4 linked regions of the Elephas maximus indicus genome follow. The protein of the gene in region 1 purifies or fractionates together with the protein of each later gene. This does not show direct contact. Links are inferred from orthologs where the notes say so. Each region holds a gene or a part of one and is shown on either strand. Other genes may lie near its edges. The genes, in order: EXOC3, EXOC8, EXOC6 and EXOC7.

Region 1 (7,232 bases):
CCATCACCTCAGGACTCCTCAGTGAGGACGTGTACACACAATATCACACACTCCCATCATCTCAGAACTCCTCAGTGAGGATATGTACACACAGTATCGCACACTCCCACCACCTCAGGACTCCTCACCACCTCAGGACTCCTCAGTGAGGACAGGCACACACAGTACCGCACACTGCCACCACCCCGGGGCCTCAGTGAGGGCACGTACACATGGCAACTCACACCGCCACCACCCTGGGGCCTCAAGAGGTCACGCACACATGGTACCACACACTGCCACCACCCCAGGGCCTCGGTGAGGACAGGCACACACGGTACCGCACACTGCCACCACCCGGGGCTCTCAGTGAGGGCACGCACACAAGGTACCACACGCTGCCACCACCCCAGGGCCTCGGTGAGGACACGAACACATGGTACCTCACACTACCACCACCCCGGGGCCTCAGAGAGGGCACGCACACATGGTACTGCACACTGCCACCACCCCGGGGCCTCGGTGAGGACAGGCACACACGGTACCGCACACTGCCACCACCCCAGGGCCTCGGTGAGGACAGGCACACACGGTACCGCACACTGCCACCACCCGGGGCCTCGGTGAGGACAGGCACACACAGTACCGCATACTGCCACCACCCTGGGGCCTCGGTGAGGACAGGCACACACGGTACCACAACTGCCACCACCCGGGGCCTCGGTGAGGACAGGCACACACGGTACCATAACTGCCACCACCCGGGGCCTCGCTGAGGACAGGCACACACGGTACCACACACTGCCACCACCCCAGGGCCTCGGTGAGGACAGGCACACACGGTACCGCACACTGCCACCACCCCGGGGCCTCGGTGAGGACAGGCACACACGGTACCGCACACTGCCACCACCCCAGGGCCTCGGTGAGGACAGGCACACACGGTACCGCACACTGCCACCACCCGGGGCTCTCAGTGAGGGCACGCACACAAGGTACCACACACTGCCACCACCCCAGGGCCTCGGTGAGGACACGAACACATGGTACCTCACACTACCACCACCCCAGGGCCTCAGAGAGGGCACGCACACATGGTACTGCACACTGCCACCACCCCGGGGCCTCGGTGAGGACAGGCACACACGGTACCGCACACTGCCACCACCCCAGGGCCTCGGTGAGGACAGGCACACACGGTACCGCACACTGCCACCACCCGGGGCCTCGGTGAGGACAGGCACACACAGTACCGCATACTGCCACCACCCCGGGGCCTCGGTGAGGACAGGCACACACGGTACCACAACTGCCACCACCCGGGGCCTCGGTGAGGACAGGCACACACGGTACCATAACTGCCACCACCCGGGGCCTCGCTGAGGACAGGCACACACGGTACCACACACTGCCACCACCCCAGGGCCTCGGTGAGGACAGGCACACACGGTACCGCACACTGCCACCACCCCGGGGCCTCGGTGAGGACAGGCACACACGGTACCGCACACTGCCACCACCCCAGGGCCTCGGTGAGGACAGGCACACACGGTACCGCACACTGCCACCACCCGGGGCTCTCAGTGAGGGCACGCACACAAGGTACCACACACTGCCACCACCCCAGGGCCTCGGTGAGGACACGAACACATGGTACCTCACACTACCACCACCCCAGGGCCTCAGAGAGGGCACGCACACATGGTACTGCACACTGCCACCACCCCGGGGCCTCGGTGAGGACAGGCACACACGGTACCGCATACTGCCACCACCCCAGGGCCTCGGTGAGGACAGGCACACACGGTACCGCACACTGCCACCACCCGGGGCCTCGGTGAGGACAGGCACACACGGTACCACACACTGCCACCACCCTGGGGCCTCAGTGAGGGCACGTACACACAGTACGGCACACTGCCACCACCCCGGGGCCTCAGTGAGGGCATGTACACACGGTACCGCACACTGCCACCACCCTGGGGCCTCAGTGAGGGCACGTACACACGGTACCGCACACTGCCACCACCCCGGGGCCTCAGTGAGGGCACGTACACCCGGTACCGCACACTGCCACCACCCCGGGGCCTCAGTGAGGGCATGTACAGACGGTACCGCACACTGCCACCACCCCGGGGCCTCAGTGAGGGCATGTACACGTGGTACCGCACACTGCCACCACCCGGGGCCTCGGTGAGGACACGCACACACGGTACCACACACTGCCACCACCCGGGGCCTCGGTGAGGACACGCACACACGGTACCACAACTGCCACCATCCGGGGCCTCGGTGAGGACAGGCACACACGGTACCACACACTGCCACCACCCCGGGGCCTCGGTGAGGGCACGTACACACGGTACCGCACACTGCCACCACCCCGGGGCCTCAGTGAGGGCATGTACACACGGTACCGCACACTGCCACCACCCCGGGGCCTCAGTGAGGGCATGTACACACGGTACCGCACACTGCCACCACCCCGGGGCCTCAGTGAGGGCACGTACACACGGTACCGCACACTGCCACCATCCCGGGGCCTCAGTGAGGGCACATACACATGGTACCGCACACTGCCACCATCCGGGGCCTCGGTGAGGGCATGTACACCCGGTACCACACACTGCCACCACCCCGGGGCCTCAGTGAGGGCATGTACACACGGTACCGCACACTGCCACCACCCCGGGGCCTCAGTGAGGGCATGTACACATGGTACTGCACACTGCCACCATCCGGGGCCTTGGTGAGGACACGCACACACGGTACCTCACACTGCCACCACCCCGGGGCCTCGGTGAGGGCATGTACACATGGTACTGCACACTGCCACCATCCGGGGCCTTGGTGAGGACACGCACACACGGTACCTCACACTGCCACCATCCCGGGGCCTCGGTGAGGACAGGCACACACGCCACCGCACGCTGCCACCACCCCGGGGCCCCTCAGTGGGATTTCAGCCCACAAGGCAGAAAGGGAACTCTGAAATCACAGACGAGGAGGTGCGGGTCTAGTGCCACACCTCGTGCTTGTCAAACCGCCCTTCCCGAGCGCAGCGGCGCAAACACCTGAGGCGTCCACCTGGCGGACATCCTTCCGGGCCCCGCCGGCCCCGCCCCGCCCCGCACAACCGCCCGGCCTGTCCCGCCCGGCTCCACCGCGGCCTCCTCCTCCGCGAGTCGGGCCGGAGCCGAGCGGACCGAGGACCGAGGCGCGTCGGTGGGGTCCGGCCCAGGCGACACCACCAGCCGCCCAAGCCCCTCCTTGCGCCCCCGTCGCCCCCGCGTCTCACCGTCCTCCGGTCGTCGCCTCCCTGCCAGCAGCGAGCAGTGCGGGGAACTTCCGCTTCCGGCGACGCGGCCGGAAGGGCCTGAGGAGGGCAGTCCTCGCAGGGGTGCGGCGTCCAGCCCGCAGAGGCGCTGTACGGGCTGGGTGAGCGTCGGGACCGGAGACCGCAGCCCCATAGGCCGCTCCTCAGTGAAAGGGTGGAGCAGAAAAAAAAAAAAAGCCCTTAACAAAGCGAAACGAAAACAACTTTGCCCAGGTACTGGGAGATGACCAGAAAGCTCCCTGGCCCTGTCTGAATCCTGGGGGTGAGAAATCCCCCAACCCCAGAACTCATAGCTATGATTCTGCCTTCGCTTGGACTTAATAATTCAAATCTTAAAAACTTGTTGGTCCAGAAACTCTCCAGTCTAGAGATTATAACTAGAAGTCATCCTTTGGCAGAAGCAAACTCAGGAACATTTCCAGAGAGACACTCCTCAACCTTGACAGGAGGAAACATAAGAGCTTTCCTAGAGGAGCACAGAGGAGCTCTGGTGGTGCAATGATTATGCACTCGGCTGCTAAAGTCAGAGGTCTGAACCCACCAGCATCTCTGTGAGAAAAAAGACCTGGCGATCTGCTCCTATAAAGATTACAGCCTTGGAAACCTTGGGGAGCAGTTCTACTGTGTCATATATGGTTGCTTTGTGTCAGAATCAACTTGGTGGCACACAGTGACAACAATACTTGAAACTTGCCCTCACCGAAGAAACTTTATCCCAATAAAAAATTATAAAACACACATGGGAATAATCCACTTTGAGTGAGAGTCAGCCAACACTTAAAAAAGCAGGAGTAGACCCCCCACAAAACAGGAGAGAATGGGCTAGAAGACGTATCTGAGGAAATTGTCCAGAATGCAGCATTATAAAGAACTGAGAAATATGAACAGTTAAAAGGCATTGGGTCTAGAGGGGACGGTTCAACATCTTCTTAACAAGAGTCCAGAGGGTAGAATTGAGAGGATGGGAAGAAGCACTAGAGAGTTTCATCACAGTGATAAGGCTGCACATTTTCTAGATTTGATGAAAGATACGAAACTTAAGATTCAAGAAGCACACCATCTCCTAACATTATATCAAAGACAAAGCAAAAATCTTAAAAAAACCTAGCATCTACAAAGGAATGATAATTAGAATGACAGCAGTCTTCTCAACAGCATTCATAGGACTGAGGGGAAACCACTGTCAGCGTCCTCAGCTTTGAGAACATGCCCCCAGCTCCCACCTCCAGGTCTCCTGCTGCTGAGACTGTTTGTTCATGTCCTGGCTCATATGTCACCTTCCCAGTCTCGCTTTGCATTGAACGCCCTGTAAAACCACTCTCCAGTAATGATGGAGATGCGATGGCATGAGTGCCAGTGGGAATGACAGGTTGCTCCACTTATTTGTATTCCACTGGTCCCCTTCTAATGCATTATAGAACTTACATAGTTGTTTTGGTCACTGTTAATTGCCTACCCACCTTCACCCACCCACCCCACACACACACCCATGAGGATGTCAGCTCTGGAACTGCACTGATTTCCGCTTCCCTTGTTCCCTAAGATGTCCCCAGCACTGTCACATAGCCTGCCACTCAGCTGGAACTAAACAAATACTAATATTGTTGAATGAACGAATGATGAATTAATGAAATGCATATGACACAACTACCTACCATTTCTGCCCCTCAGAAGACCAAAATTAAAATGTTAATACCCTGTATTGGTGACATGTGAGTAAACAAGAGCCCTTTTGGGGCTGTAGGATGACAACCTGGTACAACCACTTTAGAGGACGGTTAGGCAGCATGTATGGGCCATTGCCGTGTCTTGGTGTACACCCAGAACCCAGCATAGGGACCCAGCAGGGTGGGCGGTCATGTTCAGGCTGCGCTGAGTGGGTACAGAAGATTTGGAAACTGCCCACATGTCCATCAGCAGGAGCGTGGATAAAGGGGTCCAGTCCTGTGGAACACTACACCACAGATGCATGCATTCCTGTATCAACATGGATGAGTCTATAAAGAGCATGGAAAAGAATCCTGAAAACTAGCACCACTCCGCTTATATGAGCTACAGAGCAGTGTGCATCGCCATAGATGGAGATGTAGTAAAGGTATGACAGCAGGAGGGAATGGCGCAGCTTCAGGACCACTTCTTCTGGGGAGGGAGAGATGGGATGGAGACCAGTGGCTCTGAGTGTACCTGTAGTGTTAATTCCTTAAGGAATGTGTATCCAAAATGTTAGCTTTGTTAAATCTGACTACTGGACCTCTGCTTACTATGCTCTTTACTTCCATGTTTAAAATAATAAAGAAAAAGTGATGGCCCTGAGCCGGAAGCCAAGACTGGAGTGAGGCCAACTGGCCTGAGCCAGGATAGGCAGGAGGCCAGGAGGGCTGCCCTCTGGTGGGCAGGGACCCAGCCCTTTACGGGGAAATAAGCCACACAACACTCCAAATCTTGTCTGAGGGATGAGAAGTCAGGCCTGCTGGTCTTTCACTGTGGGGTCCAGGTTCACACTGTGGGGGTGTGGGCAGAAAGGCTGACCTGGCCCGGGGTGGGGGCTGCTCCCTCCATTTGCAGCCTGGTCAGCCAGGCAGAGGAAGCTCAAAGCCCCTGCCCTGTGCGTTTCTTTTGTGAGTGTCCTGTGTTCCTGGGCTGTCATTCCCTCCCCTACAGGGTCCTGTTTCTAATCCTGTCTGCACAGCACAGACCCCCACTGTGTGGTTGATGGAGGAAGATGAGAGGAGGGAGGGGTAAGAAGGAGGAAGTTATGTGGAGGGTGTAAGGGGAGGACTGTGAGGGGAGGAGCAGGGTAGGTAGAGAGGGAAGGGGAAGCAGTGGGGGGAGGGCCTGAGGGCCCTGAGCAAATGTGCGGTGTAGGCTGAAGTAGGCTTGGGAAGGTGAGCACCTCCGTTGGACCCAGCAGGGTGCAGGCAGTAAAGGAGCAGGTCGGCCCCCACAGTCTGGTCTTGCCTGGGCAGGTCTAGCTTGGGCAGGTCTCAGGAGGCTCAGAGCAGGCCAGGTCGCCATGGGGATGCGTGTGCTGTGGCATGTAGGGTGGACGCAGAGGACCCAGCAGGGCTTAGCTTGCCACTGGCAGGGGCACATCTAGATTCTGTACAGGGTCCTGGAACTTGTTCAGTTTAGGGCATTCTCTGAATAGGCCTTGGAAGGCATCTCCTCTCAAGGGGCCTGAAGTTGTGGCTGTGCCTGGGGCTTGAAGTCCGAGGCCTCCTGCCCCCTGCCCCCTTCACCACGAAGGCCCCTTGCCCAGGTGCTCAGAGAGCAGGTAAGGCTGACCCCAGGTGCCCCACCAAGATGGAATCCAGGGTCCTCATTGCGTCCTCAGTTCTGCCTTCTCTTTACCCTCACGGGGCAGGGCACTCCCTGACCTTCAGTGATGGGTCTGGGGAAGAGCTGGGGGCAGTGGGGAGAGGAGGTCTCTGAGTCAGCCCCCTGAGGAGATAGTACTGCTGGTGTGGCAGCAGGGACGGCCCAGGCTGTCCTTCCTCCTCAGGGGACTCTTTGTTGTTAGGTGCCATCAAGTCGGGTTCAACTCACAGCGACCCTATGTACAACAGAACAAAAGCCAGGCTCTTGGTTCAGGCATATTTGTGTTATTGCTGTCTATCTAGTACTAAAGATCTGAGTTAGGATGAAAATTAACCACACACACTAAAGGAAATAAAGTCACTTCATTTGGAAAATCATTCAGACATTTTCATTCATGGTAAACATGTATTAAACATTTTATATTGATATAAAAAATTTAATATGAACTGAAGTATCAGAAATATATTTGAAAGCTTTTTCTGAAGGCACAGAGAAAACAGTACAAAAAATGACATTATAGTGCACCAGTTTTAAAAATTCAGCCAAGTCAGTCTAAATATTGAAAACTTTTTTCCAGTAAAAACTGCAAAAATATGTT
Region 2 (8,023 bases), on another chromosome or scaffold:
AGCATCCCTTTGCTTTGGGAACACTGTCTCACCTCTGTTCTCTACTTTGTTACCAAAAACAGAAACAAATCTCTGCTCCAAGTAGTCACACTTGAGAACACTATGGCATTTGCATATATTTTTTCTAATTTCCCATGCACACAAACTCTGAAACCTCAATTAACATTTCAAGGAACTTTTCGTCCCATTTGCATGAAGTCTGAGCCACTACACAACCTACACTGAAACAGGGGCGGCTACAATCACTCCTGCCAGGTTCCTCAATGTGTCTTGTTTTTTATTATTTTTTAATACGACAAAAACTCCAGCTGAAAATTTACACAATTCAGGAATACACTGAAAAAATTGCTTTATCACAGTCCTTGAGATTATAGAGCTGCTCTTTAATCAGCAGCTGAAAATAATCAAATTATGTTTTAAAAATATGTTTATGAAAGCTTTCTCTTGTATTCTATAAAGACCAGAGTATCTGAGTCCACACACTAGTTTAAAGAAAGAATTCTTTTGACTATAATATACCCTAAAACCAATTTTCCAACACCTTTCTTTTCCCCAAATTGTCCCACCACATTTTAAGGTGGTGAAATATATGAGACAGGGCGTTTTATACAGTATCATACCCTTTAAGTACTTGAAGAAAACTAACATTTTAGTGAACTGGGACATTTTTCACCACATATTTATACTCTCTGCATTTATAGACATTATTTCTCTGTGCTGTATAATATATACTGCGAGAAAGTGTGCTTTGACTCAAAGGATAAGCTGAAATACTATAATGTGACCACATATTCATTAGAGAATTAACATCATTTAAAAGGAAAGTGTATTTTAATAATTCCATCATTTTTGTTATTTTGGCTTAATTTAGTATTTTTTCTTTCTCCTTTTGATTTTGCATTTCCACCTGTGAGGGCATCATTTAATTTTAAGCTGTGTTTGAGACTATAAAAAACACGCTAATGTAACTTAATATAAATAATATATAAGCAATATATATGTATCTATATATAAATTGATCCATGCATCAGACCACTGATGTTGTACTCTCGGGATTCACACGAATGAGCCTGGATGCGTTCCTCAGGTCTTGGAGTTGCTTGGCAGGTTTCCCCACACCTTCTTCAAACCTGTTCTCCACCACAGGGAGGACTGTTTCATAGAGAAAGGATGCATTCTGTCTAATAAAGGCCTTCTTCTCTGGGTCCTGCTCACACCTCAGACTATAATCCACATGCTGGACAGCAACCAAAATGATCTCCATCAGGCTCTCCAAAAGCACCATGTGCAGCTCTGGGAAATACAGCTTCAGGGCCTCTTCCAAGAAGCCCATGGTCTGTTTGGTGAAAGCAACCACAGTGTAGCTGAGGTTCACCCAGCAGTCATCCCCTGTGTACTGCTCAAAATTACTCACCCCGCAACTCTTCATCTCTTCTTTGAGTTTACCCAGAGCCTCTGGAGTCATCAAGTTCATCCTCCTCCACATCTCCTCAGAATTGCGATGCTTAGTGGCTTCAATTATGATTTCCTTGTAACTGTGCAAGGCCCCCTGGATGTCTTTCACCAGAAGGGCATGGATGATGAAGGTGAGATCCAATCCAATATCTCCCAGCTGCTGACAATGCTCCTTGGCCACCTTTACACACTCTGCTGCTGTAGAGAGGCTCTCTTTACTATCAAACACCTGCTTGCTAAAAGCATTCACAAACATGCCCATGGCTGATCGCGCCCAGACCACAAAGGCAGAATAGCAGCCACTGTCAGTGCCTGCGAAATCTGTCTCAAATTCCCTTGCAGTCTCTAGAAGACTGGTAAAGAAGACATGACACAGCTTATGAATATACAGTAAGGTGGCACCCTCAATGCGAAGCTGTCTTATTGCAGTATGCACAGCGGCTGCCCTGTTTCTCAAAAACAGCTCACAAGCCTTAGTGCACTGGCCCAATCGGATGAGCTGAGAAACTGCTCTGCGAGTAGCCTTGGGACCGCCTCTCAGGGAACGATCTGGAGAGAGTTCAAAAACTAATACCTCAGTGAGCTGGCGAACACGCTCATCCACTTTGGCCCTTAATTCTTTCACAGGAGGTGGACTGGGCTTATTTTCTAGATAATGGTTCAACTTATCCAGCAGGTCCACGGCCCCTTCAAAATCCCTCTGAGCAATACAGACATCCAGGTCTTCTGGTAACTCCTGGATCCATTCCATTGAGAGGTCCACTTTCTCTTCCTCCACCTCAGGAACAACCTCTTCTTCTTCTTCTTCATCCTCGAATGGGTTACTGGCCTTGGAAGGCACTTGGGGCGGCCCTCGGGGGGCTGCTGCCTCCTCCTGCTCCCTTCGTCTTTTCTCACTAAGGGCCCTCTTGGTTTCTTCCAGCACTTCCAGCCACTCCCGTTTGATTTTTGCATTTTCCGCCTGAAAAATGCGGCTCTCCGGGAACATGAGCAGCTTGAACATGTCCTTCATGGGTGGGTTGTCCTTGACATTGACCACGGCCAAGCCATCTAGGGGGTAGAGAGCGTTGTAGCGATACATTCCCCGCCGCTGTGGCAGCCAGGTGGCCACCAGCAAACAGTCGTTCATAAGAAAACCATGCACCCGCTGTAGCTGGGCCATGTGGTCCGCCTCGTACTCCACCAGGTCCCCGTTGTACACCAGGTACTGTCCCGGCGTCTCTAGCAGGTGCCGGCAGCCTTCCACCTTCTCAAGAAGGGTGGTGAGGGTGCGCTGCTTTCCCTCCTCACCCGGACCTGAACTGTCGCGGGAGGCGCCCCCAGGGGTGGGGAAAAAGCCGACCTGGCCTCTGAGGTGGTCTCGGCCCCCCGCCCCACCTCCCCCCTCCTCCCCACCAGAGGCCGCGGCGGCTCCGGCGGCGGCGGCGGCAGGAAGCAGGGTGAGTGGGATGCTCTCCAGGCTGCTCTTCTGTTCGGTAAGCAGATGGCTGAGCTGATACATCTCGCTCTCCAAATAGGAGATCTCGCGGGCCGTCTCTATGAACTGCCGGTAGTTCTGGTACACGTTGCGCTTCAGGTTCTGCGCCGTCTCCTCCGCCAGCGCCTGGATGCGCTGCCGGTGCTCCTGGAGGTCCCGATCCCCGTCCGACTGCTGAGAGAGCTGTTTCACGTACAGCCGAGCCTCGAAGCCGCCCGACTCCAGCTGCCGCCTCAGACGGCTCGCCCCGCTGTCCGACATCGACATCGCCATTTCCGTCCGGCTCGCGGGCAGTCACTGTCAGTACAGCTGCCGCTGCCGAGACCCACCCAGCCGGAATGAGTTCCAGGCTGAAGAAGCAGGACGAAGCGAGGTGAACGCGCCTGCGCTCGGGTCTGAGAGTCGGGCACTGCGCTTGCGCAAGGAGCCGCGCTAGCGAGTACGCCTGCGCCGAAGCGTCAGCTGCTTAGGGCGCATGCGCCCCTAAGCGCTTTCGCGGAAGTGAGTGAGGGTGGAGGCAGTCGTGCAGGCTCTGCGCATGGATGGAGGCTGGTGTCTGGTGTTTGAAACTGTAGGGGCGGTATCAGCTCCCGGCGACTTCTCGGCCAAACCTGGGGAACTGAATTCTGCGCCAACTAAGAGGTGCGGATTTTCGTTAGCCCTCGAATCTTGGCTTCGGCGTCTTGGGGAAGGTCAGCTTTCGTGCTCGTTCTGAAGCCGGTATTCCGCCTTCTCGCGATAGCTGCTGGAAGCCGGTATCTCCTAGGAGCCGCCGGGGAGCAGCTGGGGGGCCACACAACCCGGCGCCATGGACGAAGACCTGGTTTTGGCCTTGCAGCTGCAGGAGGAGTGGGACTTGGAGGCCGCGCGATTCGACCGCGCCCAGGAACCCCTGTCGCTGGTGGACGCGTCCTGGGAGCTGGTGGACCCCACCCCGGACCTGCAGGCCCTCTTCGTGCAGTTCAACGACCGGTTCTTTTGGGGCCAGCTGGAGGCTGTGGAGGTGAAATGGAGCGTGCGAATGACCCTGTGAGTCCCGGCCGGGTGGGCCTCCTCTTCCACCTGCCCTGACAGCTTTAGGAAAGCTGCGGGGCCCACACGCTTGAGGGATAGGGACACAGTGAGAGCACAGGACCTTGACTCTCAACTCAGTTGAGAAGAAATGGACACATTTCCGATTTGTCCTGTGGTGGTGCCTTTTTTTTTTTTTTGCTACACATTAGGTCGTTAGAGAATGGATAGATAAAGCTTAACTAATCTTATGCTAAAAGAGCCCTGGTGGCGAAGTGGTAAAAGGACACCACCGCTAACCGATAGGTCTTTGGTTCAAACCCACCGGGTGCTCCGCGGGAGAAAGATGTGGCAGTCTGCTCCCATAAAGATTAAGGTCTTGGAAACCCAGTGGGGACAGTTCTGTCCTGTTCTATAGGGTCTCTGTGAGTCAGAATCCCCTCGACGGCAACGGATTTGATGGTTTTTCAGTTTAGTGCTTTAGGACCCAAGAAGGAGGAGCACCAGCGTCTGCCCCTAAGAAAAATGCCGGGAAGAAATCGCCAAAGAATGTGTTGTCTTCCTCTATACTCATTGACATGGCACCACTTAGTGTGTTGGACTGTGGAAGGAGGACTTTTCCATATTTCTGGACCCAAGGGATCTTTAATGATACTTATTAAAGATTTCTTTTCTACACTCTTTAAGTTTAAGAAATTCGGATTTGAAATAATAACCTACTCTCAGACATGAGAGGGCTTATCAAGTTTAGGGTGCAGTTGTATACCATCATGCTTGTTTCTGAATTACGAAACAACCTAGTGTCAGACAAGTTAAGATACATTAAAAGTGTTTTTAAAGTGCAAATCTCCCTCATATAAGCTTCTGTTATAATTTTGGAGATGTGCTGCTAGAACACGTACCTGCCTGTTAGTGCCACAAACTGATTATAGCTTGTGCAGAGACTAGGAGTAGGAGAACAGGGTTAGCTTTGAGCTGTTGCAGCCTGATGGGTAAGGGAAGCCGCTACTGCTCGCTTATCTCCCTAACTGGGGTGAAAGGCAAATATAACTCAGAGGAGATAACTTTCAAGAAAACCATCTATCAAGAGAGTTCTCTTAGTGTGAACCGCCCAAGAGTGTATCAGGATTTGCTGAGTTATCTGTATTTCTCTCTTAATGTATAACTGGTAATGGTCACACATTTTTGTGGTTTTTGTTTTGCAGGTGTGCTGGGATATGCAGCTATGAAGGGAGGGGTGGAATGTGTTCCATCCGACTCAGTGAACCCCTTTTAAAGTTAAGACCAAGAAAGGATCTCGTAGAGGTATTTTTTGCACAAACCTGATTTTTAGCTCAGTAATTTAGAAACGCTTACCATTGGTTTAGACTTCTGTGAATTAATCTGTACATTTTTTTTAAAATTGTTTTTCCTCTGTACAAATTTTGAGTGTGGGACAATTAATGATTACCTTTTATTTTTATAGTGCATCATAGATGAATGACTTTAAGGTATATTATTGCATTTGATTTTTACCACGACCCTGTTGATGTTCAGTGTGTGCTGTGATCCTCATTTCTATAAACGAGAAAATTATGGTTCATAGAGGATCAGTAAGTGGTTTAAGATATATAATTTAGAAGCAGAGAAGAACTTAGGATCCAAGTTTTCCCATGCAAATTTTGTTTCTCCTCTATCCTACTTCCACACTGCTTCCCTTCCAGGGCACCTAGCTGAGCTGGCAGCAAAAACCAGCTTGAGGGCACACTTCATGCGCAGAACTTGTGACTTCTTCCCTACCAGGAGTAGTTGCTTTTTTGTTATAGCACTTTAGATGAAGGTTTGCAGAGCAAATTAGTTTCTCATTAAACAATGCACAATATCAGTGTGTGACATTGGTTGCCAACCTCATGACATATCAACACTCTTCCGTTCTTGACCTTGAGTTCCCCATTACTAGTTTTCCTGTCCCCTCCTGCTTTCTCATCCTTACCCCTGGGTTGGTATGCTCATTTAGTCTTATTTTATGTGCTGAGTAGTTGCTTTTGGCCAGATACAGAGTAGTAGTGAAAAAAAGAGGTGTATTGGCAATGTGTTGTGTAGAGTCTTGCATCTGGCTTAAATGTGGAAAATGGTACATATATAAAAAACAGACGTCCAATATAGTGCCATGTACCATTTTCAAGATGGGTTAAATTGAAACAAAAATGTTGTGGTTAGGTGCTATTGAGTCAGTTCCGACTCATAGCGATCCTATGTACTATAGAATGAAAGACTGCCTGGTCCTGCACTGCGCCCATAATCATTGTTAAGTTTGAGCCTATTGTTATAGCCACCACGTCAGTCCATCTCGTTGAGGGTCTTCCTGTTTTTTGCTGACCCTACACTTTACCAAGCATGATGTCCTTCTCCAGGGACCAATCCCTCTTGCTAACACTTCCAAAGTATGTAAGACGTAATCCTGCCATCCTTGTTTCTAAGGAGCATTTGGGTTGTACTTCTTCCAAGACAGATTTATTCATTCTACTGGCAGTCCATGGTATATTCAATATTCTTCGCCAGCACCACAATTCAAAGGCAGTTCTTCTTTGGTCTTCCTTATTCATTGTCCAAGTTTCCCATGCATATGATGCAATTGAAAATACCATGGCTTTGGTCAGGCGCGCCTTAGTCTTCAAGGTGACGTCTTTGCTTTTCAACACTTTAAAGAGGTCCTTTGCAGCAGATTTGCCCACTGCAGCGTGTCTTGATTTCTTGACAGCTGCTTCCGTGGTTGTTGCTTGTGGAAACACGTGAAATGAAATTCTTAACAACTTCAGTCTTTTTTTCCATTTACCATGATATGGCTTATTGGTCCAGTTGTGAGGATTTTTGTTTTCTTTAGGTTGAGGTATAATCCATACTGAAGGCTGTGGTCTTTGATCTTCATTAGTAAGTGCTTCTCACTTTCAGCAGGCAAGGTTGTGTCATCTGTGTAATGCAGGTTGTTAATGGGTCTTCCTCCAGTTCTGATGCCGCATTCTTCATATAGTCCAGCATCTCGGATGATTTGCCTAGCATATAGATTGATAGGTATGGTGAAAGGATACAACCCTGACGTACGCCTTTCCTGACTTTAAACCATGTAGCGTCTGCTTGTTCTTTTTGAACAAATGCCTCTTGATCTGTGCACAGGTTCCTCGTGAGCACAATTAAGTGTCCTGGAATTCCCATTCTTCGCAGTGTTATCCGTAATTTGTTATGATCCACACAGTCAAGTGCCTTTGCATAGTCAATAAAACACAGGTAAACATCCTTCTGGTATTCTCTGCTTTCAGCCAGGATCCATCTGACATCAGCAATGATATGCCTGGTTCCACATCCTCTTCTGAATCCGGCCTGAATTTCTGGCACTTCCTGTTGATATTCTGCTGCAGCCACTTCTGAATGATCTTCAGCAAAATTTTGTTTGCATGTGATATTAATGATATTGTTTGATAATTTCTGCATTCATTTGGATCACCTTTCTTGGGACTAGGCATAAGTATGGATCTCTTCCAGTCAGTTGGCAAGGTAGCTGTCTTCCAAATTTCTTGGCATAAACAAGTGAGCACTTCCAGCGCTGCATTCATTTGTTGAAACATCTCAGCTGACTTTCTGTCAATTTCTGGAGCCTTGTTTTTTGCCAGTACCTTCCTTCAGAGCAGCTTGGACTTCTTTCTTCAGTCCCATCGGTTCCTGATCATATGCTACCTCTTGAAATGGTTGAATGTCAACCAGTTTTTTGTTTTTTTTAGTATAATGACTCTGTATATTCTTTCCATCTTCTTTTGATGCTTCTTGCGTTGTTTAATATTTTCCCTATAGAATCCTTCACTGTTGCAACTCGAGGCTTGAATTTTTTCTTCCGTTTTTTCAGCTTGAGAAATGCTGAGCGTGTTCTCCCCTTTTGGTTTTCTATCACCAGCTCTTTGCACGTGTTGATATAATACTATACTTTGTCTTCTCAAGCTGCCCTTTGAAATCTTCCTTTCTTTTACTTCATCAATTCTTCCTTTTGCTTTAGCTGCTTGATGCTCAAGAGCAAGTTTCAGAGTCTTCTGGCATCCATTTTGGTCTTGT
Region 3 (7,691 bases), on another chromosome or scaffold:
TACTATCTAGTTAGTGCATACCCCTCTCTCTCCTTCCCCACCCTTGTAACCATCAAAGAATGTTTTCTTCTGTTTAAACCTTTTCTTGAGTTCTTATAATAGTGGTCTCATACAATATTTGCCCTTTCGTGCCTAATTTCACTCAGCATAATGCCTTCTAGATTCATTCATATTATGAGATATTTCACAGACTTATCATTGTTCTTTATCATTGTGTAATATTCCATTGTGTGAATATATCATAATTTTTCTATTCATTTGCCTGTTGAGGGGCACCCAGGTTGTTTTCATCTCTTTGCTTTTGTGAACAGCGCTGCAATGAACATGGGTGTACATACATCTATTTGTGTGATGGCTCTTATTTCTCTAGGATGTATTCCAAGGCGTGGGATTGCGATATCATATGGAACTTCTATTTCTAGCTTTTTAAGGAAGCACCAAATTGATTTCCAAAGTGTGAAACTCTCTTAATTTTAATTTCTTCAAATTAAATTGGGAATGATAAAAGTACCTCGAAGGACTGTAGTAAAGATAAAGTTAGATAATATAAAGGGCTTTGCAAATAGTCAGTGCTCAGTAAATAGCAATATGATTTTTATTTTGGCCTATAGCTGAGATTCTTTATTTGAGAGCCTTTTAGAAATGCATCACTTTAGAATAGGCTTTTTGGGAGCACTTTTACATATTTATATGTCACATCTATATTCATGATTAAAATCTACACAGCTATTTATTTAGGACCACTCTGCTTTCTTAGCAAAAACCTTCAGGTACTAATGCAGCTGTCAGAAGTCACGGAGGGAACGAACCAGCAAAAGCTGTTGCAGAAGGCAGAAGTGGTGAATAGACTTCCTTCCATCTTGACTTGAGTTGTGCTTATGTTGAAGCAATCTTTATGGGCAGGTGTTGAGGTAATCTTTATGGGCAGGTGTTGAAATAGGCCTGGAATGAAGAGTGCCTGAGCAGGGGTAGATTACCAGAGTGGGTGTACGGGGTGGGAGGATTTGAAGATGGGTTTGGATAGCTGGTGTTAGAATTGGTGAAGAGAAGGGGAACAGGTCTGGGTAATGAATATAGGAGAGGAATGTCCCAGCAGGAGGCAGCTGCCAATAGAAAACTGTCCTGCACCATGCCCGGCTCTCCTCACCTTCCTTTACAAAACAATGAGTTCTGGCCATGCACATTGACTGAGCTCAGCTAGTCTGCCAATAGAGAACTGGCTTTTTATTCTTTTTATTATCTTTGTAGAAGGGTATGGAACTTGGCCTAATTCCATAAGTCTCAGGTTCAATTTTCAAAAGGTTTCTTATCCTCTCTCAAAGCTGAGCCTTCAACTAGGATGTCTGGGCAGTACAAACAGCTTGTGATCAGCTTCTAACCCAAAAGTTAGTGGTTCTAATTCACTCAGTGGCTCTGTGGAAGACAAGGCCGGGTGAACTATTCCCATAAAGACTACAGCCAAGAAAATGCTATGGAGCACTTCTGTAACACATGGGGTCACCATGAGTCAGGGTCAACTTGATGGTGGCTAATAACAACAACAATACCAGGTGGGAGCGGCTCAGTAATTGGAGAGGCAGTCAACTAAGGAAAAATTCCAATTTTTTTACTGTCGTAAAATATATATAACAAAACATTTGCCATTTCAACCATTTTTAATGTGTACAATTCAGTGACATTAATTATATTCACCATGTTGTAGAACCATCACCACCATCTATTAAAATTCAATTTTTTTACAACTCCATAAAAAACAGTTGTACAAGAATCCAAAACACTGTGATCTAGGTATACAGATGTGGCTTGATCCAGGGATAAAACCTTAAATAACCAGAGGACTAGATGAACTTATCTTCTGGCAAAAGTTTATATTGTTTTTTGCATTGAAGCTCTTGATAAAAGTGGGCATCGGGGAATCTGAAGTAACATTCTCTGTTGGTGCTTCTATTAAGGCAACTGATTACAGCCACATTAGAGAACATTTTATTTAATGTCAATATATAAACAACAAGTTTGAAGAAACTAATTTTTTATGGTTTGATATTGTTCTAATTCCTAATTGTTACCAATCACAGATTAACCAAACTCCTACCTTATGTTCAGACCTGTTCGGAAGACTCCTTTCTAACTCGTCCTGAATTCTTTCTGGTGGCTTGAGGGCGGCAGCATTGTTTTGTTTCAAAACTCCTCCAGCTTTCTCTCAGCTATGTGCAGAACTCTGTGAAGAAGTACAGGAAGTTACAAAATCTAAAAAAAGTCATCTTTGAACTCAAGGACCTTAACATGGTGTGTGACAATACTGGTGAATTTGGGTAGAGGCTTTGTTTCTGCATATTCTCAACACTTATTGGGCCCATACTAAGTATGAGAGGTAGAATAATGGCTCCCTAAAGAGGTCCATGTCCTAATCTCTGGAACCTGTAAATGTATTCTTACATGGCACAAGGGACTCTGCAGATATGATTACGGTTAAGGACTTTGACATACATTATCCCGGATTATGTGGATGGGTTCAACCTAATCAGATGATTTCTTAAAAGCAGAGAACCTTTCCTGGCTGAGGTCAGAGCCAAAGGGAGATGTGACTACAGAAGAATGGTTAGAAAGACGCAATGTTGCTGACTTCGAAAATGGAGGAAAGGAGCTATGAGCCAAGAAGTGTGGGTAGCTGGGAAAGACAAGGAAATAAATCTCCCCTAAAACCCGTTGCCATTGAGTCAATTCCGACTCACAGTGGCCCTATAGGACAGAGTAGAACTGCCCCATAGTTTCCAAGGAGCACCTTGTGGATTTGAACTGCTGACCGTTAGGTTAGCAGCCATAGCACTTAACCACTACGCCACCAGAGTTTCCAAAATCTTCCCTAGAACTTCCAAAAAAGAACACAGTCCTGCCTAGTGAGACTCATGTTGGACACTAAATGTGTTTGTTTTTTTTTTTAAGCTAGTAAATTCGCAGTAATTTTTTTTAGCAGCAATAGAAAACTAATACAAACGGGACAATAATACAAGGTAGACACTAAAACTATTATTACCATTTACAATGGGTGAACTGAAACATGGTGGAATTAGGTCATACAGCTGAAGGAGCCAGGAATTAAGTTGAGGACATCTGTCTTCAGAGCTCAGGCTCTTAACTATTATACAATATATGGCCTCCATACCTTCCAGGATTTTGGGCAGGGGGGAGAATGGAGGTAAGCTTCAAGTAAAAGTTCACTGAAGGGAGTGAGTTATAGAGAGGGATAGTAAAGAGGTTGGTTGACTCAAAAGGAAGTTCAGAGCCCTGGGTTAATGGAGACCTGAGAGTAGTTGCCCCTCAGGCTAGGTTTGCATCCTGTTCCTGATTAATCTTCCTCAGTCAGTGCTTTGATCATGACAAACTGGTTTACCCAGAGTCCTACAAACATGTCATTAAACAAGACCCTTTTCTACACTGGTACCCTTGCCCAAACCACTTCACCTCTGTTTCCCACAGGTCTGATGTCCACCTCCTCCGGAGAGCTCCCCATCCCTCCTCACCCCAGCCCACAGCGACCCAGGGGCACTTGGGTTCAAGGACTTTGGCTTGAAATCACACATCAGCCCCTGGGTCTCTTGTATCTTTCCCATGGTGTCTTAGTTTCTTGCCATTTAATTTTTCTAGCGGTTATAACTCACTTCCAAGTTGACTGGCCCCTCATGAACTTCCTGAGAGTACGGATATGAATCCATCCAGAGCGGGTTGTCAAGGTCACCGACTTATTGGTTCATTCCTAAGATAAACCTTACAACACACAATTTTGCTTTTCTTGAGTGCATGTCCGCCTTTCTCCGACTCCCCATTTTCGAGTCGTAGCGACCCCATGTGATAGAGTAAAACTGCCCAATAGAGTTTTCCAGAGTATGTTAAGCCCGTTGTTAAACGTTCTCATAGCTTTTATTACATATTATTTGGCGATGATTACTTGATTGCCCACCTTCCTCATTACTGCTGTATCTCCAGCGCGTAGCAGAGGTTCAGGAACACAAAAATATATGTTAAAGCCAAAAGGTTTGTCACTAGGTGACAACTAGGAGTAAGTCGTGGGGGAGGGGGGGGAGGTGAAGCCGCACGGCGACCTCAGCGAGTCTCAACTCCCAAACGCTGGCAGCACCTTGACTTCTCGAAGGTGCCGGCGCCGAAACGCCCCCGCGCCGCCGCACTCTTCGCGCCCGGGTGCCCCTACGCCCTCCGCTCCCCGCGCCCCCGCACCACCGCCCCTCGCACCCCACCCTATCCCCGCCCCACCGCCCCTCGCACCCCACCCTATCCCCGCCCCTTTCCCCGCCCCCTCCGCGCTCGCGACACATGCCGCTCGCCCCCGCGTCCGCGCGGCGCCGCGCCTCGCCGGCTCCTTAGCGTCCGGCCAAGATGGCGGAGAGCGCTGAGGGTCTGGGCACCATCCCGGAGCACGAGCGGATCTTGCAGGAGATCGAAAGCACAGACACTGCCTGCGTGGGGCCCACTCTCCGGTAAAGCTCTCATGCCCCCGGGCTTCGGGCTGCCCCCGCCGGCAGCTCTTCAGCAGCTGGGCGGGGCGCTCACCGCCAGCCGCGCGTTGGGCGGCCCGACAGGTGGTGCGCGCGGGGGCGCTGCCGGGGCGGCGGACTAGGGCCCGGGCGGGTGTGGGCGGCTGCACCTGTCCGCGTGGTGGCGGCGCGGACCTCCTCAGCCGCGGGAGCTGTCACCGCGCAGCCAGTGGGTGTGGCTGCCTTGGCCCTTCTGACCCCCGGAGGCGCGGCGGCGCTGCCCCGCGTTCGCCCGCCGGCCCCGGCCCGGGGTCCCCAGGACCCGCCTCAGGCCTGGCCCGCTCCGCGTCTGCAGGGCGGCTAAGGTGGCTGACAGCGGGAGTGACCGGGGCGAAGGTTACCTGCCGGCAGCCGGCGTGACCGAAGTGCCGAGGCGCGCGCGGAAGAAAACCCTGGCGCGATGGGCTGCCACGGGCGTGGGGGAATGGAAGTTAAGCGGGAGACTCCAGCACCATTATCCCGGCGCACGGCCCTGAGTGGGCGAGAAGGGAGCGTGGGCTGGCGGGAAGGAGCTGAGGCTCAGAAACACGCTGGTGTTAACTGTGTGCTCACAGAGCGTGCCTCTGGGGAGAAAGCTTTCACTTATTCACGAGCGTTTCGTTAATTTTGCATCAGTTTTTCTGTTTATTTTAAAAAGGACCCTAAACCACCCCCTTAAGAATACAGTACTAGGTAATCGATATTCTGTGCCAGCTTGAATACCTGCTGTCCTAAAAGAATATTATCCAGAGAATGTACAGATCCATTAGATTAGGTTAGGGACTCTCTTCAAGAATAAAAACCAGTTTCTGTCCAGTGGATTCTGACTCATGGCGACTCCATGTATTGCACAGTAGAGCTGCTCCATAGGGTTTTCATGGCTGTAACCTTTGAGAAGCAGATCACCACATCTTTCTTCTGAGGCACCTCTAGTGGGTTCCAGGTGAATTAGAACTGTCAGCCTTTCTGTTAGGGCAGAGTGCTTACACTAGCTCCACCCAGGGAATTTAAGGTTTTATGTTTAGCAGTGATGATGATGAATGAAATTACGATTCATTTGGTCAGGGAACTTTGGGCAGATTTTGCTTTATCATTAGTATTTTCTTCAGAATACACTTCCTAGGAATGGAGCAACATATGATTTGTGGACCTGTGGATGTAGTTACATTGTAAATTTACCTTTCCCTGAGAGTCAGGAGTCCTGTGTTTTTGCTTTGCCCTTGTCTTGCCACTGATGAGGTGTGCAGTCATGGGTAAAAATAATTTAACTTCGCTGGACCTGGGTTACTTTATTTGCAGAATGGGGAGATGGAGTTTTGGTGCCTAAAAACTTGGGACAGTAGGGACCTTGTCTATTTGTTCACTTCTGTATCCCTAACACCAAGCATGTGTTAGGCATGTGATAAATTTTTGTCGTATGAAGTTCCTGCTGTGAACGATAATTAGTGCATTTCCTTAAATTTCCAAGGTAATTACTTCTTTTCATAAAACTATTTTGGTAATGAAAGTAGAAATCATGGATTAAAAGGATGTTTTGTCCTTCTTACTGCATGGCGAGACTGAAACAATACAGGATGTGGTATAGTTATAAGAGAAGTCCATTTTTGAAAGTAGTGTTGCTTGAGAAGGAAATGCTTCATCTTGGGAAAAAGAGATAAAATTAACATGGAAGGAAATTTTGAAATAGATTGAGAGGCTTTTGGGACACAAACAATACAGTTGATCTGAAAATTTTGAAATAGATCGAGAGACTATTGGGACACAAACATTACAGTTGATCTACATTATTTGTGAATTCGTATTTGTGAATTTGCGTACTCACTCGAGTTTATTTGTAACTCCAAAATTAATGCTTAGTGTGCTTTCACAGTCATGTGCAGAGTGACAAAAAATTTGAGTCACCTTATATACATGTTTTCAGCTGAGGTCAGACAAGGCAGTGCTCTGCCTTCTTGTTTCAGCTCTCAGACTGTCAGCAAGTGTCCTTTTTGCGATCTATTTAGTGCCATTTTTTTCTTACATTTTTGTGCACTTTGTTGCTGATTTTGCTGTTTAAAATGGCCTCCAAGCATAGTGCTGAAGTACTGTCTAGTGTTCTAAGCATAAGAATGCTGTCATGTACCTTAAGGAGAAAATATGTACGTTAAGTATGTTAGATAATCGTCATTCAGTTGTGAGTTATAGTGGTGTTGACCATGAGTTCAACGTTAACCAGTCAACAATATATATTAAAGGAAGTGACTTTAAACAGAAACACATAAAACAAGGTATTGTGGTAATGTTAACAAAAACGTTGTGACCAGAGGCTCAAAGAAACCCAACCCTCTGTTTCCCCTAGGAGCAGTGGTTCAGCATACACTAGTTCAGTGTGCAGCGTGACTTTATAGAACATGACTGCTGTGAATAATAAGAACCAACTGTATATGTGTTCAGTGTTATCATCCAGTTCTCTTTTGCCAGACAGTTGTGTCACCTGCTTACTCTGTTGAAACCCACTGTTTAGCACACTGCAGTGACTATATATACACTGGTCATCTCTCATGTGGAGCCCTGGTAGCGCAGTAGATAAGAGCTCGGCTGCTGACCATAAGGTTGGCAGTTTCAAAATACCAGCTGCTCCTTGGAAACATTATGGGATAGTTCTGTTCTATACCACAGGAATCAACTCAACGGCAATGGGATGGGACACCTCTCATGTATAAGCAGAGTAGGAATCAACTCAACGGCAATGGGATGGGACACCTCTCACATATAAGCAGACTCTTTGTTTGCCTACATAAAAGGCACTGCTAGTAGTCCTTTCTCTTGACCAGTGTTTGAGCTACTCCTATTTCCCCCTATTTTTTTCTAATTTCATCAAGTAAAATGCAAATATTATATTTTTCAAAATCCTTTATTATGGAGAATTTAAATGTGAACCCATCATCTAGCTCCTGGCCAATCTTGTTTGGTCTTTTCCCCATCCACTCTTTCTCATCCTGGATGATCTTGAAGCAGATTCCAGACATCCGTTTGTCCTACCGATGTTATTTTTTGTTGCTATTTCCTAATGTTTTACCTGGCCTGTAGGCTTATGTTACTATTTTATTATTTTTTCCAGTGGCACTCTTTTTTAGCCTGATCTTTCAGTTTTTCTCAGGTCTAGCTTTTTGTGGGGGGTGT
Region 4 (8,411 bases), on another chromosome or scaffold:
CACTCTTTGAGAGTAAATCTCATTAAATAAGGACTAAAAACCAAAGAACCAAACCTGCTGCTCTGGAGTTGATTCTGACTTGTTTTATTGTTGAATACAAATGCCGAGTCTACATCTACTCAAATTGCTCCTGTCCAGTCTTACCTAAGAATTCACGGAATACCAATTGAGATGCCTCAACGATTGGATGCAGCACTAGAAGTGTTCAGTTGTCTGTGCTAAGAAATTTGGAAAACAGCTGCCTTGCCAACCAACTGGAAGAGACCCATATTTGTACCCATTCCAAAGAAAGATGATCCAAAAGAACGCAGAAATTATCGAACAATATCATTAATACCACACGTAAGTAAAATTTTGCTGAAGATCATTCAAAAGCAGTACATCGATAGGGAACTGCCAAAAATTCAAGCTAGATTCAGAAGAGGGTGTGGAATCTCATTGGTGATGGAATATCAAGGGATATCATTGCTGATGTCAGATGGATCCTGTCTGAAAGCAGAGAATACCAAAAAGATGATTACCTGCGTTTTACCGACTATGCAAAGGCATTCGATTGTGTGGATCCTAACATATTATGGATAACATTATGAAGAATGGGAATTCCAGAACACTTATTTGTGCTCATGAGGAGCCTGTACATACATCAAGAGGCAGTCATTCAAACAGAACAAGTAGATACTATGCGGTTTAAAGACAGGAAAGGTGTGCATCAGGGTTGTATCCTTTCACCATACCTATTCGATCTGTTCACTGAGCAAATAATCCGAGAAGCTGGACAATATGAAGAACATGGCATCAGAACTGGAGAAAGATTCATTAACAAACTGTGATACGCAGATGACACAACCTTGCTTGATAAAAGTGAAGAGGACTTGAAGTACTTACTGATGAAAGTCAAAGACCACAGTCTTCGGTATGGATTACGCCTCAACATAAAGAAAACAAAATCCTCACAAGTGGACCAATAAACAACATCATAATAAACAGAGAAAACATTGAAGTTGTAAGAGATTTTATTTTACTTGGATCCACAATCAACGCCCTTGGAAGCAGCAGTCAAGAAATCAAACGATGTATTGCATCGGGCAAATGTGCTGCAAAAGATCTCTTTCAAGTATTAAAAAGCAAAGATGTCACTTTAAGGACTAAGGTGTGCCTGACAGAAGCCATGGTGTTTTCAATTGCCTCATATGCATGTGAAATCTGGACAATTAATAAGGGGGACTAAAAAAGAATTGATGCCTTTAAATTATGGTATTGGTGAAGAATATTAAATATACCTTGGACTGCCAGAAGACCGAACAAATCTGTCTCAGAAGAAGTACAGCCAGAAGGCTCATTAGAAGGAAGGATGGTAAGACTTCATCTTACATACTTCCGACATGTTATCAGGAGGGACCAGTCCCTGGAGAAGGATATCATGCTTGGTAAAGAGTCAGCGAAAAAGAGTAAGACCCTGAACCAGATGGATTGACACAGTGGCTGCAACAATGGGGTCAAGGCAAAAAAACGATTGTGAGGATGGTGCAGGACAGGGCAGTGTTTCATTCTGCTGTACATGGGGTCGCTATGAGTCGGAACCGACTTAATGGTACCTAACAACAGCAGTCTCACCTAGGAATAAAGACGGAAACTAGTATTTATTGAGCACCTGTTGTATACCAGGCACTGCGCAAGATGTGCTCCCATGCATTAGCTCATACACCCTTCACGCCACACTGAGAGGCTGGCACTGTCTCTGCTTTAGCAAACAAGCTGTTAGAAATTGAACTGTGTCCTCCTGATATGTGTTGGAACCCTAACCTCTATACCTATGGGTGTAATCCCATATGGAAATAGGGTTGTCTTTGTTATGTTATCTAAGTCATATCAATGTAGGGTTTGTCCTAAACCTAATTGCCTGAGTTATAAGCAGGAGCACAGACACAGAGACAAACAAGCACAAACGGGGAAAGATAGATGCCATGCAAAGATTGCCAAGAAAGAAAAAAGTCTGAGACAAGGATCTTCCCTGAGAGCTCAAAGAGAGCCTTCCCCTATAGCTGGTGCCCTAATTTTGGACTAGCCTCCTAAAGTGTGAGGAAATAATTTTATGCTCTTTAAAGCCACCCACTTGTAGTATTTCTGTCACAACAGCACTAGAAGACTAAGACACAAGTTAACTGAGGTGCAGATTTACCTGTGTAGAATCACACCGGTAAGCGGCAGGGCAGGGGCTAGATCCCAGATCTGTCCAACTTCAAAGCTCCTTCTACCCCTAATGTCCTCTGGAGTGAAAGCTGTGTCTTCTCTGGCCTAAGTAATCTCAAAATGCCATCCCTATAAGGGACTTTCTGTCACTTGAGTTGGAGGTGGCATATGACCAGTGACTAGCCCACCTAGTCCGTCTCACTAAATGTTTGCTGAAGGAGAGAAGGGAAAATGGAAAGCCTGGACAGAGAGCTTTAGAAAGTCCAGACTAGCGGGGACTGCAGGATCCTCCACACGGGTTAGAACATGGGGACGGGGGCTAGGTAAGTTAGATGCCATGTTACTGCCAGAGAACTCCACACGGTCCAACCATCGCCACCCATGCCAAAACCCCAGGCCTTGGGTGCCCAGGGAGCGCAGGGTCGCATCGCTCTCCTGTAGGGTAGGAGCCCCATCTGCCTCTCCCAGCTGAGGAGTAACTCACCATATTCTTGGTGAGCTGGTCGCTTTTCTCCAGGCTGTCTCTGATGAAGGACAGCGTCTCCTCTTCCTGGGGGAAGCGGAGGGAAGGACATGACCAGGAGCCAGAGACTAAAGAAGATCAGCGCGTCTGCGGCCCCTGTCTCGACCCCCGCCCCGACCCCATTTCCTCGCTAGGAGTGCCCCCTCCCACTTGCCTCCTCGGGGAGTAGATGCCCGGGCCCCAATCTCGGCCCCTTTCCCTCACCCCTTCCCCCGCTATGCCCAGCCCCAACCTCACCTGCTTCAACTTGTCCTCGATCTCCCGCCGCCGGGCGGAGGCCTCCTGCGGGGGGATCATCTCTCCAAACCCTGCGGACCCCAAGCCCCAGGATGGGGTCCCAGCGGTCCCGCTCGGCTCCCGTCCCTACCACACCCACTTCCGTTTTTGGCCCCGCCCCTGGGAGCGCTGGTTGCCATGTTGGGAGTGGCAGGCGGAAGTGCGCCTCCCGGGGCCCAGCAGAGCAAGTGGCCATCGCGAGTGTGGGTGGAAAGTTTGGCGTGCCTGGCGCACTGCAGTTTCCCGTCGGTGCGGATTCCTGCCTCGGTAGAGAAGGTTCCGGAACTGTGTTACGCTACCTGCGGCTGTCAGGACAGTTACAGGTCACTTGCCGGCCTTGCGAGAAGACCGACCGTTTTGACAGAGACCGTTGGGAAGGCGACGAATTCGCTTCCCCAATTGCATTCAGGGTCGAGGCGCCGACGTTGCGTTCCCTACAGAGCACAGCACAGAGCGTGTCACACAATAGACGCCTGCATGCGCATTTAATGAACCTGGGGGTGTAGTCGTTTCCCCTTGAGCGGGTCCTGAGCACAGTCCTAACTTGTGCACGGCCCAGCCAGGTACCTGGGGTGGCAGAGTCCTTGGGGCATCCATCCTGGGGCCTCGGAGCATGCTCCCCAAGCCGCACCTAGGTGCCTGGTTTGGAGAGAGCTATTTTATTTGCAGGGTGTGTGGACCACCCTGGTGGTAGAGAATTACTTCTGATAGAGCCTACTTCCAAAAAAATAAACCGTACTCATTTCCGCCGAGTTGACTCCAACTCATAGGTCTAGGAGAGCAGCAAGAGGAAGGCTGAAAGGCCCCAAGCCTGCTTGAGGGATTGCAGGGCAAGCGCACTGTTACCAGCTAGGGAGAGAGAGGCCTGCCTGCAGGTGTTTAGACGGGCAGGGAGCATGGCTCACAGGAGCTCTGGGGAAATCAGATGGGCTTGGGAGGCTGACAGGACCCCCTCTTCAGAGCTCCAAACCAAAAAAACCAAACCTGTTGCCTTCCAGTCGACTCTGATGACCCATAGTGACCCTATAGAACAGAGTAAAACTGTCCCATAGAGTTTCCAAGGCTGTAAATCTTTCTCCCCTGGAGTGGCTTGTGGGTTTGAACTCCAACCTTTCAGTTAGCACCCTAGCACTTAACCTCTCTGAGCCTCTGAACAGCACTAACCCATGGTAGATGCTCAAGAAAAATAACATCTTGCTTTCTAGGTTTGAGGAAGGGTATCCTCTCTGATTGCGAGCAAACATTTTAAAGTTTGTACAATGCTATTGCATTTTTGTAAATAAACTACGTATGTGTGTGATTTTCTGTAGTCTCAATTTCCTTCAAAGTCCAAGTATATAATTTGGTAGCCAACTACCATTTACTGAGAGCCTTCTGTTTGCCCGCCTCTGATACAGATAACTGTCCTAGTGTTATCTAATCCTCATAATAAACCTGTGAGTCTGGTGCCACTCTTGTCTTCCTTGTGCAGATGAGGAAGCTCAGGCTTGGAGATGTAAGCTGTACAAAGTCCACCTGGCCAGCCAGAGCAGGTAAAGCCCTGGCTGTGTTCCTCTACCTCACCATGCTGAATAGCTCAAGAGTCTCATTTGTGATCATGAAAAGCTGCCAATCTGGTTTTTAAGAAAATCTACTGTGAAAAGCAGGTTATATTTATGACAACCACATGAACTAAAAGGTAGACAAAATGAAAACCAAAACAACCAAACCTGTTGCCATCAAATCGATTCCAACTCATGGTGGCTCCATGTGTTACAGAGTAGAACTATACTTCATGGAGTTTTCTTGGCTATAATTTTGACAGAAGCAGATCGCCAGGCTTTCTTCCACAACACTGCTGGGTGGGTTCAAACTGCCAACCTTTCAGTTATTAGTCGAGCACAAATTCTGGGCCAACCAAGGACCTGACAGAATGGCAAGATGAGTTTAAATTATTCTCAACCCAATGAAAACGTGTGTTGATAAGCAGACATTGATTCCATAAAAGCTATAATTCCCCAACTATCTTCAGCACAAGCTGCTTTAGCAAAAGGAGCAAACTGCAGCTGCAGCCTCAGAAGCCTTTGACTTCATCCATAAGCTTGTGCAGAACACATAGGTGCCAATCATAGCCAAGCCCCCCACTGCTAGCTCACAGGTAGGTGGGGAGGTGGAACAGAGAATGGACGGCAGGCCAGCAGGAAAGCAGGAAGGCAGTGTATTCTTTAGGTCCTCAGAGAGGCTGGGATGTCACTTGGGGCACCATGCCCAGTTGAGTGATGGAAGCAGGGAGAGGGGCCTCTGCCAGGAAGAAGGGCCAATTCCTGAATCTCACAGACAAGAGGTGGAGCAGAGGAGTGGTTGGGGGAGCCCGAATGAGGGCAGATCAAAGGCAGCCATGGGGCCACTTGTCATCGCAGTTGACTGCTCTTGGTTTCCAAGAAAGGACTCATACACAAGCAAGAGACAAGTCAGGTCAGCACAGCTGATGGCGTCACCTTGAGCAAACAGAAGATGTCAGCCCGCCTCCTAAAGCCTGTCTCCCCAGCTCCCTTGGCCCAACCCAGAGCGGGTGTCCGATATGTCTGTGATGAACAAATAAACTAATGAGTGCATGAGGGTCAAGGCCATAAGTGTGAGGGAGGAGCAGGGGCATGGGAGGAGGACCAAAGGGGAGAGGTGAACTCATGGATACACGTCGAGAGTGAGGGCACGACGGGAAGGAGGTTGGGGTGTGCTTTCTGAGGTAATCACCAAGTGGACAAGGGTGAACTCTCTCTAAATTGAGGATCACAGCAACAGCGTCAGGACCAGCAGAAATACCCATACCAAAAGATGTGGCTGAGAAGACTCTGCGTCCCTTCCTGCCCCTCTCTACCAGGGACCAGCATCCCCTGCCTCCCATCCCCACTTCTCATCTTATTCAGGGTAGGTCCCAGGAGAGGTCTGTGAGGCCAACGGGATTCTGGCTTTGAGGTTAGGAACCGTGGATATATGTTCCCATGGGAGTATGTCACGTGATGCCTAGTTCTAGTGCCATGGAAGGCATAGAGTGAAAGAGAAACAGTTGAGGTATGAGGTCAGATAGGCCTCCACTGACCAAAGGCCTGCTACCTACTAGTTGTGTGACTTCAGCCAAGGGAGGGCCTCTTTGAATAATAGACCACGTGTTATGGATTGAACTGTGTCCCCCAAAAATGTGTGTCAATTGGCTAGGCCATGATTCCCAGTATTATGTGATTGTCCACCATTTTGTCACCTGATGTGTTTGTCTTATGTGTTGCAAATCCTAACTCTATGATGCTAATGAAGTAGGGTTAGCAGCAGTTATATTGGTGAGGGAGAACTCAATCTACAAGATTAGGTTGTATCTTGGATCAATCTCTTTTGAGATATAAAGGAGAGACTCCACCAAAGAGACAGGGGGACCTCATACCACCAAGAAAGAACCTGAAGAGGAGTGCGTTTTTTGGACCCAGGGTCCCTGCACTGAGAAGCTCCTAGACCAGGGGAAGACTGATGACAAGTATCTTTCCCCAGAGCTGACAGAGGGAAAAAGCGTTCCCCTGGAGCTGGCACCCTGAATTTGGGTTTCTAGCCTCCTGGACTGTGAGAGAATAAATTTCTCTTTGTTAAAGCCACCTACTCGTTGTATGTCTGTTATAGCAGCACCAGATAACTAAAACACCGAGTGTTCCAAAAGACCCCACCTTAAAGGATTTCAGGTAAATTAAGTGACATAACCTACATAAAGGGCCTGGCACATAGTAGGTGCTCAAGAAATGTTAGCCAGCACCTGCCTGGCCCTCATGGTCTTTCCAGCTGGAGTTCAAGTATATTACGAAGTAAACAGACTGTGCAGTGAATTTGGAAGCCTATTGCTTAGAACTGTGTTTTGATTCCAAACAGTTAACTTATCCAGAACCTTTGGAGTCCTCACCTCACCTGCCCCAAGACAGTCCTGAGCCCCTGATAGCATCCCGAGCTGCCCATGGGATCATTCTTGAAGGTCAAGGAAACCATAATCACCAGGCAGTGCGTGCCGAGCGCTGGATGGCTTATTAAAAGAACACAGGCCATAAGGCACTGGCTGAGGGGACACGGGAGTGACATTCCCCACATTTTACCACTCAGGAGGAAAGCCTGGGGTATGTGTATACAGAGCCAGTGGCATCTGAGTATCAGCACGTACCTGGCACCTCGCTGAGCCTTTACAATGGTTTTCTCCAGTAAACTGCACAACAATCTTATGGGGTAGCATTGTTGTCCTTACAGGGAAACTGAGGCACAGAGACATGTCTAGAAAGTGCCAGAGCTAAGCCTGGAAAGCAGATGCTCCATTTCCTCAGTCGTGATGTTGCATGCTCTTGCAGGCTGGCTCACACAAAAAAGTCAGAATGGTCCTCCTGGGATCAGCTGGAACATTCCAGGGCCACAGTCTCACCTGGCAAATGGTGTCCCTGGAGTTACAAATCAGGACAGTGAACACCTCAGGCAGACTCATAGGGAGATACTGGAGCCCTTAGTCTGACTTGGGGCCTTTTAGACACTAAGGTGGATGAGAACCCAAGTCAAGGTGGACGGAGAGGTGACCAATTGAGTTGAGGTGACACCCAGCCATTATTCTGCTTCTAGCTGCCCATGTGCCACAGCCCCTTTGCTGTCCCTGGGCCTGGTTAACCTTTGCCTCAGGACACTGGAAAACCCTGGCCACTGACCGCCTATTCTGACACCAGCTCCCAGGCCAAAAGCTCTCCAATGTCTGGACTTGGAGGGTGACCAACACCTGAGGGAAATTTTTCCTTTAACTTTTTAAACGCGCTCTCATCGGCCCAGCTTGGAGGAGGACAGGGGCTTGCTTCTGGTTCCTGGGCTGGAGCTGGAATGGTTCAGGCCAGGCAGGAAGCTGGCTGGGAGGCCCAGGTGACACAAGGTAGATGATTCCTCACCACTGTGGGGCATCTCCAGGGGCAGGGAGCCTCTCGGGACCAGGGGGTCACTGCTTGTCCCCTTTCCCAGCTCTCAGCTTTCAGATCCCCACCTCTAACCCACACACACTTACCCACCCACACCCACACAAATTCTCACACGTTCACTCACACATGCTGACACACACACGCCCCACACACTCACTGTCATATATACACACACACTCACACGCAATCACTGTCATATACCCTCACACACACACACACATGCTTTCTCCCACACATACTCTCACACACACACTCACTGTCATATATACACACATACTCACACGCAATCACTGTCATATACCCTCACACACACGCACACACATACACATGCTTTCTCCCACACATACTCTCACACACACACTCACTGTCATATATCCTCACACACACACTCACTCTCACACACACACTGTCGTATACTCTCACACACATTCACACACACCCCCACACTCTCACACACACACTCACTG

What was found.
Region 2: the proteins of EXOC3 (region 1) and EXOC8 purify together in Homo sapiens (affinity purification with mass spectrometry; 5 studies listed by BioGRID and IntAct, counting the BioPlex papers as one, with this or other methods). This does not show direct contact. The link is inferred for Elephas maximus indicus from reciprocal best matches to the Homo sapiens genes EXOC3 and EXOC8.
Region 3: the proteins of EXOC3 (region 1) and EXOC6 purify together in Homo sapiens (affinity purification with mass spectrometry; 6 studies listed by BioGRID and IntAct, counting the BioPlex papers as one, with this or other methods). This does not show direct contact. The link is inferred for Elephas maximus indicus from reciprocal best matches to the Homo sapiens genes EXOC3 and EXOC6.
Region 4: the proteins of EXOC3 (region 1) and EXOC7 purify together in Homo sapiens (affinity purification with mass spectrometry; 5 studies listed by BioGRID and IntAct, counting the BioPlex papers as one, with this or other methods). This does not show direct contact. The link is inferred for Elephas maximus indicus from reciprocal best matches to the Homo sapiens genes EXOC3 and EXOC7.

What each region holds. Positions count from the first base shown.
Region 1 is NC_064820.1:480,868-488,099, reverse strand, and holds the start of EXOC3 (exocyst complex component 3), read right to left. Parts: upstream 3,357-7,232; 5' UTR 3,278-3,356; intron 1-3,277. UniProt on the Homo sapiens protein: Component of the exocyst complex involved in the docking of exocytic vesicles with fusion sites on the plasma membrane.
Region 2 is NC_064842.1:33,313,099-33,321,121, reverse strand, and holds the start of EXOC8 (exocyst complex component 8), read right to left. Parts: upstream 3,332-8,023; 5' UTR 3,206-3,331; coding exon 1,028-3,205; 3' UTR 1-1,027. Other genes in the region: DNA-dependent metalloprotease SPRTN, read left to right, coding at 3,741-3,961, 5,149-5,248. UniProt on the Homo sapiens protein: Component of the exocyst complex involved in the docking of exocytic vesicles with fusion sites on the plasma membrane.
Region 3 is NC_064834.1:44,080,306-44,087,996, forward strand, and holds the start of EXOC6 (exocyst complex component 6), read left to right. Parts: upstream 1-4,331; 5' UTR 4,332-4,392; coding exon 4,393-4,493; intron 4,494-7,691. UniProt on the Homo sapiens protein: Component of the exocyst complex involved in the docking of exocytic vesicles with fusion sites on the plasma membrane.
Region 4 is NC_064837.1:66,346,691-66,355,101, forward strand, and holds the start of EXOC7 (exocyst complex component 7), read right to left. Parts: upstream 3,083-8,411; 5' UTR 3,011-3,082; coding exon 2,951-3,010; intron 2,741-2,950; coding exon 2,675-2,740; intron 1-2,674. UniProt on the Homo sapiens protein: Component of the exocyst complex involved in the docking of exocytic vesicles with fusion sites on the plasma membrane.